Anolis sagrei: one gene and its partner. The protein of the gene in region 2 interacts with the protein of the main gene of each other region in a pairwise test. Links are inferred from orthologs where the notes say so. Each region holds a gene or a part of one and is shown on either strand. Other genes may lie near its edges.

The links.
Region 1: the proteins of KLHL2 (region 2) and TXNDC12 interact in binary tests that used the Homo sapiens proteins (3 or more experiments, as listed by UniProt). The two-hybrid records come from large-scale screens. The link is inferred for Anolis sagrei from reciprocal best matches to the Homo sapiens genes KLHL2 and TXNDC12.

What each region holds. Positions count from the first base shown.
Region 1 is NC_090024.1:173,951,570-173,959,245, forward strand, and holds the start of TXNDC12 (thioredoxin domain-containing protein 12), read left to right. Parts: upstream 1-4,605; 5' UTR 4,606-4,688; intron 4,689-5,142; exon of another isoform or gene 5,143-5,279; intron 5,280-5,342; 5' UTR 5,343-5,415; coding exon 5,416-5,500; intron 5,501-7,661; coding exon 7,662-7,676. UniProt on the Homo sapiens protein: Protein-disulfide reductase of the endoplasmic reticulum that promotes disulfide bond formation in client proteins through its thiol-disulfide oxidase activity.
Region 2 is NC_090025.1:56,847,620-56,854,623, reverse strand, and holds the start of KLHL2 (kelch-like protein 2), read right to left. Parts: upstream 3,011-7,004; 5' UTR 2,835-3,010; coding exon of another isoform or gene 2,783-2,834; coding exon 2,751-2,782; intron 1-2,750. UniProt on the Homo sapiens protein: Substrate-specific adapter of a BCR (BTB-CUL3-RBX1) E3 ubiquitin ligase complex that mediates the ubiquitination of target proteins, such as NPTXR, WNK1, WNK3 and WNK4, leading most often to their proteasomal degradation.

The sequences.
Region 1 (7,676 bases), on a different chromosome or scaffold from region 2:
CCTTCTTACTGCTGCTTTTGCCTCTGCAGTGCTGTTAAGTGAAGAACTTGCTTTTTCCTACAGGATTAATGCAGTTTGACATCACTTTAACTGTCATGGCTCAATGCTGTGGAATCTTGTGTGCGTCTGGTGAACACTATTAGGCTGAGAAGATTAAAGACTCCTAAACAGAGTGTTTTAAACAGAGGTTGGATGGTCATCTGTCATGGGTGCTTCGAATGCAATCTTCCTGCTTCTTGGTAGGGGGTTTTACTGGTTGGCCCATGAGGTCTCTTCCAATTCTATGATTCTAAACCTACGATACCCATGACTCCATAGCATGGAGACATGGCAATTACAGTGGTATCAAACTATCTTAATTCTACAGTGTAGATGCACCCTAAGACTGAAAAAGTAAACCATGCACATGAGCTGGGATGTGCAAGTTAAATCGGACTCCCCGTCCACACAGTGATCAAACTAAGTACGCAAACCAATTATTTTTTTTGCTCCTCTCAGTTGTTTGTCTTACAGTAACCAAATCTAGCAAGAATCAAATACCAAGATTTGTTTTATAGTAGCCTAATTAACAAGGACTGAGATTTGCTTCTAAACGCGTAGCACAAAATCTTATAGGGACAAGAGCAATAAAGCTACACCAGTCAAATAACAAGTAAAACCCAAAATCTACTTTTGAACAATAATTTATTTACACTGGCATGTAGAGATTAGATACAATTGCTTTTGATTTTTTAGAATTTTATTCTATATCATATCATTCTCAATTCAGGAAAAGTTAAAGATATTTTATTCATATATTAACAATTGTTGCAATGGAATTCCAAATTAATAATCACATTTAAATCTTTGTGGAATTGAGTATTTAAGATGAAAATTACTGTGAAATCTGATTTTACACTTGGCAAGGAAGCAATACAGAGTCTCCAAAATTCAACTATTCTCATGAGCTGAGAAAAGTAAAAGAAATTGTTCTCAGAAGCAAGAAACAATGTCTTTATCAATAACTTGACAAAGATACAACTCTACTACATGATGCATTCAGCTCAGAGAGTATAAAAACATTCAGATTAGAAAGGAGACAAAGACATAATAATAATGGTTATTTCAACCTTGAGAAATAGAATCCTTGTCTCATTTACAGAAGTTTTTGGGAAGAGTAAGAAAAGCCATTTGTAGAAGAAAGTTAACAGCCAGAACAAACTGAGACACAGGGGACCCAAATTCTTTGAGGAAAAAACTCTTTCCCACGTAATTGTATCAATTATCTGAGAAATCTGGCTGCTGATCTAGAAGATGTTGATGAAGTAGTCACATCTTCAGTAACTTTACTACACTACACAAATAGATGTGCTGGGTTTCAAACCTATAAAAAGGACCTAAGAACCATCAATTTGCGTAACATAGGTGCCTAATTTATTTTTAAAAATTGAACTATTTTGATTATGGAAACTCAAATACAATGAAACGTTTGCACTTTTAAAAGGCATGGGAAAATGGGCTCTCCAAAATATAACATTTTATCTTATTTACATAGTGGGTGAAAAGATTCCATATTAGCTGGTTGAGTAATCTATATCCACAATGTCTGGGACCCAAAATGTTCTGTATTTCATATTTTTCAAATTTTGAGTATTTGTATATACACAATGAGATATTTTAAGGTGGGTCCAAAGTCTAAAAATAAAATTCATTTATATGTCATATTACATCCTATAAACAAACCCTGTGGGCAACTGAATACACAGTATTTTAAAATAATTTTATGTGTGAACAATCAAAAACCAAAGGTGTCCCTGTCTCAGCCACTCATGAGGAAAATTCTGGAGTATTTTGGATAAGGGACACTCAATCTGTACCAACTCCTGAAGACTAGAGAAGGGGATTTTTTTTTTTTAAAAAAAAAAGGTCCTGTGAGGAGTTTAAGGGAGGCTCTCTCAAAGTCAATCCTAAATTCAGTCCTTTGTAGAGGCAAATAAGAAAGAATAATAATACTGTATTTCTTCAGTTCTAAGACACACTTTTTCCTTATATAAACATCTCTGAAAATGGAATGTGTCCTAGAATCACAGATGTATCTTATGCATTTTTGTTGGTTGTGGTACTGAAACTATGGTGTGTCTTACAATCAGTGGTGTCTTACAACTGAAGAAATATGGTAACAACAACAACAGTTATTATTAGAGGACAAGAAACCAGTTGCCAGCATTATCAATCTCTATGGGAAAATAATAATTATTTTCTTTGTTACTTGTCTCTCCTCAAGGTTGGAATAAGATGCAACCAACAAGAGTAGATTTCTTTTTAAAGAAATACTCAATGTCAACACTGCAGGATGCAGACCATCACTATTTCCCTTCCCCTTCTCATCCTAATAATAATAGAAAGAGAAGCCAGGTAACAGTATTATCCACTTCTATAGAAAAATAAGCTGCAACCAAGGAGAGTTGGTCTGCGTTTGTCAGAAAATAGCACCCCTCCTCATTCCTTTGTATTCCACCTCAAGTTCTGTGGAGACGCAGATATATAATAACTATTATTATTATTACGAGTACATCTACTCTTCTCAAGTTTAGAGGCAGGATACTACTACTGTTAATAACAATAGAAAGAAAGGATAGCATTATCCCCCTCTATGGAAGAAAAAGGTGCCACCAAGGAAAGGAGGCTTGTGTTTTTATAGAAAGATTTCTCAATGATAAATTCAATCCCTTGCACCTATCATCGAGCAGTAGGTAGACAACAACAATAATAATCCTATCTCTCAAGTCTAGAGGTGTAACACTACTGCTACCAATAATAACAGGAAGAGAGGGCAGGTGGCAGCATTATGCCCCTCTATAGGAAAATAAGGTGCCACCAAGGGAAGGGGGTTGTGTTTTCATAGAAAGATTCCTCAATACTAAATTCAATCCTTTGCACCCCTCAAGCCTTGAGAGGGAGGTAAACAATAATCCCATATCTCAAGGATAAGAAGGCAGGACACTACTGCTACTAATAACAGGAAGAGAGGGTGGGTGACAGCATTATCCCCCTCTATAGAAGAATAAGGTGCCACCAAGGAAAGGGGGCTGTGTTTTTACACATTTTGGAGCATTTTGGATACATTTAATCCCTTGCGCACACACACACACCCCTTGAGAGGTAGGTAAACAATAATCCCACATCTCAAGGCTAAGAAGGCGGGACACTCCTACTACTACTAATAAGAAGAGAGGGTGGGTGACAGCATTATCTCCCTCTATGGAAAATAAGGTGCCATCAAGGAAAGGGGGGTTGTGTTTTTACACATTCCTCAATGCTAAATTCAATCCCTCCTCGAGCCCTGAGAGGTAGGTAAACAATAATAATAATAATAATTCCATCTCTCAATAACAATAATAATCCCATCTCTCAAGGCTAGAGGCAGGACACTACTGCTACTAATATTAATACGAAGAGAGAGTGATAGTATTATCCTCTCTCTATAGAAGAATAAGGTGCCATCAAGGAAAGGGGGGGGGGTGTTTTTGCTAAATTCAATCCCCCTTCGAGCCCTGAGAAGTAAGTAAACAATAATAACCATCCCATCTCTCAAGGCTAGAGGCGGTACACTACTGCTGCTGCTACTACTACTACTACTACTACTAATAATAATAATAGGAAGAAAGAGTGAAAGTATTATCCCCTCTATGGAAGAATAAGGTGCCACCAAGGAAAGGGGAGGTTGTGTGTTTTTTTTGCTCAAGCCTTGAGAGGCAGATAAATCACTATTACCATTATTATTACTATTTCTATTGTTATCCCACCACTCCCCAAGGTTGGAGGGGAATATGACTACTACTACTACTAGTGTAGTACTACTCATACCAGGAAGAGAAGCCAGGGGATAGCATAACCCCTCTATAATTCCATCTCTCAAGGCTAGAGGTGGGGCACTATGGCTATTAATAACAGGAAGAGAGGCCAGGTGACAGCGTGACCCCCCTCCATGGAAGTAGAAGGTGCCACCACGAGGAGTGAAATTTTTGTTTTCAATGGCAGCGCTGTTTCTGAGGGAAAGGGCGCGTCGCTTTGGACAGGAGGGGCCTCCCGTGGGTTGTGTTGGGAAGGGAGCGGCAAAGGGCTCCACCAAAGCCAAGCCTGGGGAGAGGAAGGCCCCTGCCCAGAGCGCCATCTCCCCCGAAGCAAGGCGCAGGGCCCAGGCGGGCTGGGAGGCCAGGCCCATCCTCCTCCTCCTCCTCCTCCCTTGGCTCTTGGGCCCACCAGCAGCCCCTCCCACCGTCCGTGGGGCGGCCTCGCCTGTGGGAGGAGAAGCGGGCAGGCAGGGCCACAGCCCGGCCTGTGGAGTGGGGAACAAGCAGGCCCTGAAAGGGGGGGGACACAAGGGCCGCAGAAAGGTGGGGGGTCAAGCAGGAAGTTTCACCTCAATCCGACGAACCTCCCGCAGGCAACACGCGGCAAGAACAAGATGGCGTCGAGGCGCGCGGGGGAGGGAGGGGGAGGGAGGAAAGGAAGGGGCCCAGAGAAAGGACCACGGGACCGACGCCACGCCCACCTCCTTCCCGATTGGAAGGGAGCGCGGCTGTATTTGCATAACCCCCTCCCCGACGAGAGGACAATGAATAAAGCGTCGCGCCCCAAGGAGGCGTGGCGGGAAAGCGGTGCATGCTGGGAGTTGCAGTCTTCCTCAAGAAGTCTAAAAGGGACAGGTATGCCCTCGGATAACAGATACTATCGACTATATATCAAAACGGAGGGGGGGGGGTCTGATTGATACACCTCTTGAGTATTCCTTGCCTAGGGAAACCCTATGAAATTCTTGGGGTCGCTATAAACTAAAAGGAGCCTTAAAGGCACTTATATAAATACAAAATTCAACGTTTCAAAAGCATACCACTCTTAAGTACTCTGACCTCAATGCTATGAATTCCCGGGAGTTGTAACTGGTGTGTAACTGATGTAATTACTCTGGCTCAATGCTATGAAATCCCGGAAGTTGTAACTGGATGAGAGCCCTTATAAAACTACAACTCTCGTGTTTCCATAGTATGTCATCAAGGCAGTTAAAGTAGAGTCAAAACTGAGTTGGTTCTACAGTGTGGATGGAGCTAACATGGATTTCATAAAGAATAGAATATACAAAGAGCATTTTAAAAAACCTACCCGCTCATTCCGGTTTTTGAAATACCTTCAAGTCGAAATTCCCAACGAGGAGGAATAGTTTTTTCTCATCTAGGTTCCTTCAGGGATGTCTCTTCCTTTCCTTCCCTCTCTCCTAATTTACCCCGGACCCAAATCCATGCAGCGCCTCCCATATCCGCCTGATAACATCACTTCCTCTATTCTTTTTCCTTTTTTTAAAGGTGAAAGCGGATTGGGATACACCGGGTCCTCTTCCTGGCCGTGTGGATCCTTTTGGAGAGCTCCTTTGGCGTCATGAAGGCCCCTTGGGCTACTTTCTCCTTGTGCTGCCTTTGCCAGCTGCTGGTCGTTGCTTCTGCTGAAGAAGCCCTTGCAAAAGGTAAGATATAGTATCCCTCCCCTTTCTTTACATTCTTACCTGCTTTTTTTTTACCTTTCTATCCTTTTAATATTACATAATAATAACAACCATAATCCACATCTTGCTCATATGGATTTTGTTGGCGCATTCAAAATCCACATTTTAATGTGAAATTGTAGTTCTTATTGATTCAACTTTCCCATCTGTTTCGACAGAGTAGGCCATGAGTTGCTCTTAAGCAAGGAAGGGAATTGCAAGCCAACAAAGGGAGGGTGCATTTATCTACACTGTTGAATTAATACAGTTTGATACTGCTTTGGCTCAATGCTATATGGAATCCTGGGATTTGTAGTTTGGTGGAGGCACCAGCTCTCTTGGGTAGAGAAGGCCATGTAAAACTACAACTCTCATCCCATCGCCTTGAGCCTGGGTAGTGAAGTGGTGCTAAACTGCATTAATTCTACAGTGTAGCTCAGGCATCAGCAAACTTTGGCCCTCCAGGTGTTTTGGTCTTCAACTCCCACAATTCCTATTATTATTAGCAGGGGACTCCTAATAATAATAATAATAATAATAATAATAATAATAATACACCAGGTGACAGCCGCATTGAGGAAAAACTCAGCCGTTTTCAGGACCTCAAAATCAAACTGCAAAGGCTCTGGCATAAACCAGTACAGGTGGTCCCAGTGGTGATCGGCACACTGGGTGCCGTGCCAAAAGATCTCAGCCGGCATTTGGAAACAATAAACATTGACAAAATCATGATCTGTCAACTGCAAAAGGCCACTTTACTTGGATCTATGCGCATCATTCAAAAATACATTACGCAGTCCTAGACACTTGGGAAGTGTTCAACTTGTGATTTTGTGATATGAAATCCAGCATATAGATCTTGTTTGCTGTGACATGCTGTGTTTTTGTATCAGTAAAATAATTATTATAATAAAATTCAATCAAAGCCAGAATTGAAAAGTGGATGACAGATTCCAAGTGTAAACTCCGCAAGTAAGCAGACAGAACCATTGATCATATACTCAGCTGCTGTAAGAAGATCGTGCAGACGGACTATAAGCAGAGGCATAATATTGTTGCTCAGATGATCCATTGGAACTTGTGCCACAAATACCATCTGCCTGTGACAAAAAACTGGTGGGATCACAAGCCAGAAAAAAGTTATGCAAAACGATCACATCAAACTACTTTGGGACTTCCGAATTCAGACTGACTGAGTTTTGGAGCACAATACTCCTAACCACACAATCGTGGAAAAAAAGTAGGGATTGTCGATGTTGCTATTCGAGGTGACAGCAAAATTGATGAGAAGCAACTGGAAAAGCTTACAGGATTTAAAGATCGAACTGCAACGTATAGATGTTTGTAATTTGGTCGCAAAGGTCGTAACTTTTCCGCATAAGGAAGATGTTCCAGACCTTTATTCACTGTGATTGCCCTTTTCTACAGGCGGCGAAGAGCAGGGTTTATTGGGGGACATTAAAATATTTGGAGTAATGTTTTTCAAATACTGTGACCAAAGCTGCACACAGTATTCCAAGTGCAATCACAGCGTAGGAGAATATGATTTTAGTGGGCTTATTTCCAGTTTATGTTCCAATTTGTATTCCTTCCAGCAGCTGTAGACTGAATTGAAATATTCCTCAAACTGCTTCTAATTGGATGCTGATAGGATTGTACTATTAAAGCTTTCTGTTAACAGGTTTTTACCTGATGTTTAAAACACGGCAATAATGTGCCTGCTCTGAGATTAAGAAAAAGGCAAGAACAAATGTGTGAACCAATCTTCCCAAGGGAACCCTATGATATTGTCGTCTTAAGCTGAAATCAATTTGAAGGTGCAGAACGACAACAGCAGATGTATCTGCAGAGCAACTTGCAAAAAATGTTTTGTGGTAGAATTTCAGTAGTATATTTCTGAAGGGATGGATAACTTATGGTGCTGGTCATTGACCGTAAATAAATGTATATAACTTATGGTAACATTTCAAGCATTGCTTTCCCCAGAATAACCTAGGCAAACGCCATGTATTCATAGAGGATGTTCTGAGAAATACTATTGGTATTACCATTTGAAATGCTTTTCTTTGCTGTGATCAAATATGATAAAATATTTTATCTGCTGTGATCGCTTTACATTATTATATTCCATTTTCCTGCCAAGGTTTCGGAGATCATA
Region 2 (7,004 bases):
CCATTCTGGAGCAATTAAAAAAAAACGAATTTTTAAACACGTTTTGTAAATGCTTCGTATTTCGTTATTGTATTCGTTTCGTTATTGTTCTGAGGTTGTTTCGTTATTATTTTCGCATGTCTGGGGCAAGTTTTTTGTTTAATTAGTGAAAAAAAATTATAATATCACACCAACATTGTTTCGGAAATCGATTCGTTAATGTTTTGTAATTTTTTTCACATTTACAAAATTTCGTAAATATCGAACTTTTTAAAAGGAAAATTTTGTAATTATTTTAAATAACGAAACGCAAAAACCCCCAAAAAACGAATCGATTTTAGAAACAAATTTTTCCGTTGTTACCCAGGCCTAGTGCAATACATTCAGATGAGAAAGCAACAAAGTTACTCATTCAACTTGTGAGATTCAGACCTTAACTTTTATTCAAACAGCCCAGTGCTTACAAATGAGAGTTAGTGCATACAGACTGCAGAATTAATCCAGTTTGACACCACTTGAACTGCTATGGCTCAATGCTATATAAAACTGGGAGTAGTAGTTAGGTGAGGCACTAGCCCTCTATGGCAGAGAAGGTTAAAGACCTTGTAAAACTACAACTCCCATAATTCAATAGAAATAAGCCAAGGCAATTAAAGTGGCACCAAACTGCATCAATTTTACTGTGTGGACGCATCATTAAGGTTGCCATAACTCAAAGGCACTCAGCAACAACTTAACAATCCCCTCCACTCTCTTTTTGTGTATATATAGAAACACTCTAAAGCTACTCTGAACATTAGGACCTTTGCCATGGGGCATAAGAGTAATACGCAATAGCTCCGACCATATACAGAGTGCATTTTTGGACGGCAACAGCCATGGCTCCTTACAATCAGGGAGCAGGCAACAAAACACAGCTATAAAAGCTGTATTTGAGAAGAAGGAAGTAGACAGTGAGTATGGAAGGTCTTCATTCCCCATGCTCACATTCTATTTCATATATTTATGCCCTCTCTAGCCTCAGACTACCTGCTGGGGTGCAGTGAACGCACTCTGCACATGCTCAGAAGTTTGGTTCCCTACTATAGGATTCCGAACTATTCGGTGGAAGATCTGCTGAGATCCTTGTCTAAGGGCGCATCTATACTGCAGAATTAATGCAATTTGATGCCATAGTTCTATTCTAATGGAATCCCAGGAGTTGTAGTTTGCTAAGGCCCCCGATCCCTCTTTGGTAGAGAAGGCTAAAGACTTTGCAAAACTACAACTCTCATTATTATTCCATAGTATTGAGAATACATCTGCATCGTAGAATGAATGCGGTTTTACATGACAACTCCTTGCAAAACTATAACTCCCATTATTCCATAGTATTGAGAATACATCCACATTGTAGAATGTATGTTTGATACAACTCCTTGCAAAACTACAACTCTCACTGTTCCACAGTGTTGAGAATACATCCACACTGTAGAATTAATGCTATTTGACACGACAACTTTTTGCAAAACTACAACTCCCATAGTATTAATACATTTGAATTGTAGAAAGAATACAGTTTGGCACGACAACTCCTTGCAAAACTACAACTCCCACTGTTCCATAGTATTGAGAATACATCCGCACTATAGAATTAATGCCATTTGTCATGTCAACTCCTTGCAGAACTACAACTCCCATTATTCCAGAGCATTCATACATCTGCATTGTAGAATGAATGCAGTTTGACATGACAACCTTGCAAAACTACAACTCCCACTGTTCCACAGTGTTGAGAATACATCCACACTGTAGAATTAATGCTATTTGACACGACAACTCCTTGCAAAACTATAACTCCCATAGTATTAATACATCTGCATTGTAGAATGAATGCAGTTTGACATGACAACTTTGCAAAACTACAACTTCCATTATTCCAGAGCATTAATACATCTGCATTGTAGAATGAATGCAGTTTGACATGACAACTTTGAAAACTACAACTCCCACTATTCCACAGTACTGAGAATACATTGAATTGTAGAATGAATACAGTTTGGCACGACAACTCCTTGCAAAACTACAACTCTTACTATTCCATAGTATTGAGAATACATCTGCATTATAGAATGAATGCAGTCTGACAAGATGCCTCACAAAACTACAACTCCCACTACTTCATAGTGTTGAGAATACAACCGCACTTCAACTCCTTGCAAAACTACAACTCCCATTATTCCATAGTATTAATACATCTGCATTGTAGAATGAATAGTTTGGCATGACAACTCCTTGCAAAACTACAACTCCCACTATTCCGCATTGTATAATGAATACCGTTTGATACTACAACTCCTTGCAAAACTACAACTCCCATTACTCCAAAGTGTTGAGAATACACCTGCATTGCAGAATGAATGCAGTTTGAAACTTAAGGCCATGGCTGAATGCTATGCAACCTTGGGATTTGTAGTTTGACAAGGCCCCTATGTCTTCTTTGGTTGAGAAGGCTGTGTAGACCTTGCAAGCCTACAACTCCTAAAATTACACAGCATTGAGCCCTGCCGAGCAGCATTCATTTGGCAAAGCAGGCTGTAGCAGAAGACCATGCAGGAAACTACAACTCCCAGGGACCCAGAACACTGAGCCCTGCCAAGCTGTAAGTCAGTCGGCTCCAGTGTCGACTCCAGAGAAGCCGGGCCCTCTCAGTGTCACTTTCACCTCTTCTCGTGTTCACCCATTCTCACGTTCATCCCTCGGCGACGCGTGTCTGCCTGCCAGCCACTCACCCCAAGGGTTGCAGCAGCAGCAGCCTCTCCATGGCGGCTCCTCCTCCTTAAAGCACCGGCAGCGGACGCCGGCGCCAGCACCATTCCAGCCTCGAACGCTGGGGAAAACCCGGCAAGATGCCCCGAAGGAGGAGGAGGAAGGGGAGGCAGGCACACACAGAGAGAAGGAATTATTGCCGCGGCTCTTCACGTTCCTTCTTCCTCCTCCAGCTGCTGAATTCGACTGAAACCGCTACTTCCGGGGTTCGGAGACCAAGCCCACTTATCCTGACTGGGGGATGACGTCATCACGCACGCCTACGTGCAGCCCCTCCATCTCCTCCCTCTTCTATCTCTATAGGGATGCAGGGCAGAGTAAGAAGCCAGGTGTAACCTCTTATCCCCATTAATGGGTTTGTATCAACTGAAAGGAACCCTTCCCAACTGCTCTTGCTTTGTGGCCATGAGCAAACTTGGGCCCTCCAGGTGTTTTGGACTTCAAAGCCCACAATTCCTAACAGCCAGTTAGACTTTGTGGGAGTTGAAGTCCAAAACACCTGAAGTAGCCAAGTTTTCCCATGCCTGGTACTGGTATGATGAACTGTTAATCATAGAAACAAAGAGTTGGAAGAGACTTCATGGGCTATCCAGTCCAACCCCCTGCCAAGAAGCAGGAATATTGCATTCAAATCAACCCTGACAGATGGCCATCCAGCCTCTGTTTAAAAGCTTCCAAAGAAGGAGCCTCCACCACACTCCGGGGCAGAGAGTTCCACTGCTGAACGGCTCTCACAGTCAGGAAGTTCTTCCTGATGTTCAGATGGAATCTCCTTTCATGTAGTTTGAAGCCATTCTTGTAGTTAAGACCACAACCTATTGGGAATTGTGGATTATGACCTGTTAGGATCATAACCTATTAGGAATTAGAGCTGTGTTTCTCAACCTGGGGGTTGGGACCCCTGGGGCAGGCCTGTAGCCAGGATTTCGATTCGGGGGGGGGGGGGGGCTGAGTTTTTTTCAGGGGGGGATTCGGGAGGGGTCTGAGTTTTGGGGGGGCTGAGTCTGAGTGAAAGAGGGTCTAGTTTAGCAAACCTTTTGTATCATTACCCCAATACCCCCATGCATATGGGATATATTGAGTATGGTGATCAGATCATGTTATGAATAAACATAACAGTTTAAATAATGCACCAGTAATGCCTTTTCGCGAACCACCATGAGAATTTCGGGGGGGGGGGGGCTGAAACCCCTCGAGCCCCCCCCCCCCCGGCTACATGCCTGCCCTGGGGGGAGCATCAGAGGGGTCGCCAAAGACCATCAAAAAACAGGAGTCCCCGGTGGCACAGTGGGTTAAACCCTTGTGCTGGCAGGACTGAAGACCGACAGATCGCAGGTTCGAATCCAGGGAGAGGCGGATGAGCTCCTTTTATCAGCTCCAGCTCCTCATGCGGGGACATGAGAGAAGCCTCCCACAAGGATTTTTTTTGGTCGTGTCAGGAGTGACTTGAGAAACTGCAAGTCGCTTCTGGTGTGAGAGAATTGGCCGTCTGCAAGGACGTTGCCCAGGGGACGCCTGGATGATTTGATGTTTTTATCATCCTTGTGGGAGGCTTCTCTTATGTCCCCGTTCGGAGAGCTGGAGCCGACAGAGGGAGCTCATCTGCCTCTCCCCGAATTCGAACCTGCAACCTGTTGGTCTTCAGTCCTGCTGGCACAGGGCTTTAACCCACTGCGCCACCGGGGGCTCCTCCCACAAGGATGACACTGACATCTGATTGAAAAACAGACTTCTATACTCAAGCTGACTCAAGGCTCAGCTGTCTTCTAACTTCTTAGACTTAAATCTTCCCCTCTTCTTTTTAAATTCCTCCCCTTGAGTAGACCAGCAGAATTTTAACTCCACTTTAACACTTCTTTCAATGAAATCATCTCTATACTTTTAACATTCCTTTCAATTTGGTGGTTTCCCTCTAAAGGAGACCAGAATATTTTTAAACGCTTCTTTTAAACTACTTTAAACAGAAGGAACATGCAGGGGCAATTCATAAAATGGAGTGTAACAGAGAAATCCAACACTTCCTATGGAGCCTAGACTACTATTAAGGAGAAAATACAGAGGCAGCAAATTTGTGAGGAACACCCTTTGCTCTGTGTCACTGAAACGATTCAACATGAGTGAATCTTTCAGATCCCATTACATGTGTTTTTTGGCATTAGCGATGTTTCTGGCACGCACCGGGGCTCAGAACGTGATTACGCATGTGCTGAACTCCCTCCTTTCAGCACACTTCAGTTCCATTTCAAGGATGAAGGGCAATGGATGATGGCCAGAAGTAGGCAAACGTCGTTGTGCCTCTTTGTCTTTGAAATAGAAATGAAATGTCCTACAATGGGGAAAACACTCCATGTGATGAGGTCTCCAATCATCACTCCTGGAACCTGCACAAAGGGCCCTTCCAAACAGGCCCTATAGCCCAGGATATGATCCCAGGTTTTCTATTTATCTTAGGATCCTTCAACGCAGCCCTATATCCAAAAATATCAAGGCAAAAAATCCCACAATATCCGCTTTGAACTGGGTTATCTGAGTCCACACTCAGATAATGAGGGATTCTCTGCCTTGATATTCTGGGATATAGGGATGTGTGGAAGGGCAGATTATCTGGCAGTGGAGACTCATATAATCCAGTTAAACCAAAAAACCTGGGATTAGATCCTGGCATACAGGACCTGTCTGGAAGGGCTATAAGAAGATATTTTTTCTTTTTCCTAGAGAAAAGACGATTCAGGAGTGGCTTTGGATACCTTCAGTGCAATGACCACACTTCGTTCATGTTGATTTATGCCATCACACTCTCATTAACATAATTGATTGCAGGTGAACATAGTAATTAAAATGTTTTCATAACTTTGATTTTTTTAAATCAAAAGTTAAAAAAAACCAATTTTGTTCTTTTCAAGTTAGTGAATTCAAATGAAAAGGTCAGTTTCACTGGCAAAAATAGAAAATCCCACTGACCTCAGGTAAACCTGATTCTGAATATTATACTGCAAATGGCTTGCAGAATACAGCCGAAACTAAATTGGAAAGATTCTCTGACTTCTAAAATGAAATCGGCATGAATATGTATGTTTCTGGTTATCAACCTAGTGCTGGTTCCCAGAGGAAAACTGTCAGGGAGTGAGTTTTATGCATTGAAGAGATTAAGAAATGTATTGGAAAAGGCACCTGTCTTTCTTTGAACCACGGATTTAACAGTAAAGCCTTATTTAAATGTAAGTGAAATGTCATTTTGAAAACTTCTAAAAAATCATCCAAAAATGGATTACAGGGCAGTATACATGTGACTGTTTATCACATTTTAAACTACCCACTAAACACAATTTTAAAATAAAGCAATACAAGCAATAAACAATACAAAATTTCAAGGCATAAAATTAAATTCTGTGTGAGTCTGCACACATGCCTGTTGATTTATGGCAACCACATGAATATCATAGGGTTTTCTTACGCAAGGAATACTCAGAGGTAGTTTGGCCAGTCGCTGCCTCTGAAATACTGCTTACAGCATGGGTTTTCGTTTCCATCCAATATTGTGTGTGTGTGTGTGTGTCAGGAGTGACTTAATAAACTGCAAGTTGCTTCTGGTGTGAGAGAATTGGCTATCTGCAAGGATGTTGCCCAGTGAATGACAGGATGTTTTGATGTTTTACCATCCTTGTGGTAGGCTTCTCTCATGTCCCCACATGGGGAGCTGGAGCTGACAGAGGGAGCTCATCCATGCTGTCCCTGGATTCAAACCTCTGAACTGTCAATCTTCAGTCCTGCTGGCATAAGGTTTAACCCAAGGCTCCTTCCATCCAAATACTAACAAAGTTTGATGCTAATTAGCTTCCAAGGTCAGATCATTTTTGCCTAAATCAAAGATAGTTTTCAATATTAGATGTGATCTGGTGTTTTTAGACTGGGTTGCTGTAGGGTTTTCGGGCTATATGGCCATGTTCTTGAAGCATTCTCTCCTGACGTTTCGCCTGCATTTATGCCCTCACAACCTCTGAGGATGCTTGACATAGATGCAGGTGAAACGTCAGGAGAGAATGCTTCTAGAACATGGCCATATAGCCCGAAAAATCTACAACAACCCAGTGATTCCAGCCATTAAAGCCTTTGACAATACATTGTTTTTAGACTATTTAAGTCCTTCTACTAGCTGAAAATACAACTGAAAATACCTAGGTAAATACATCTGTGTGTGTGTGCCTTCAAGCCACCTG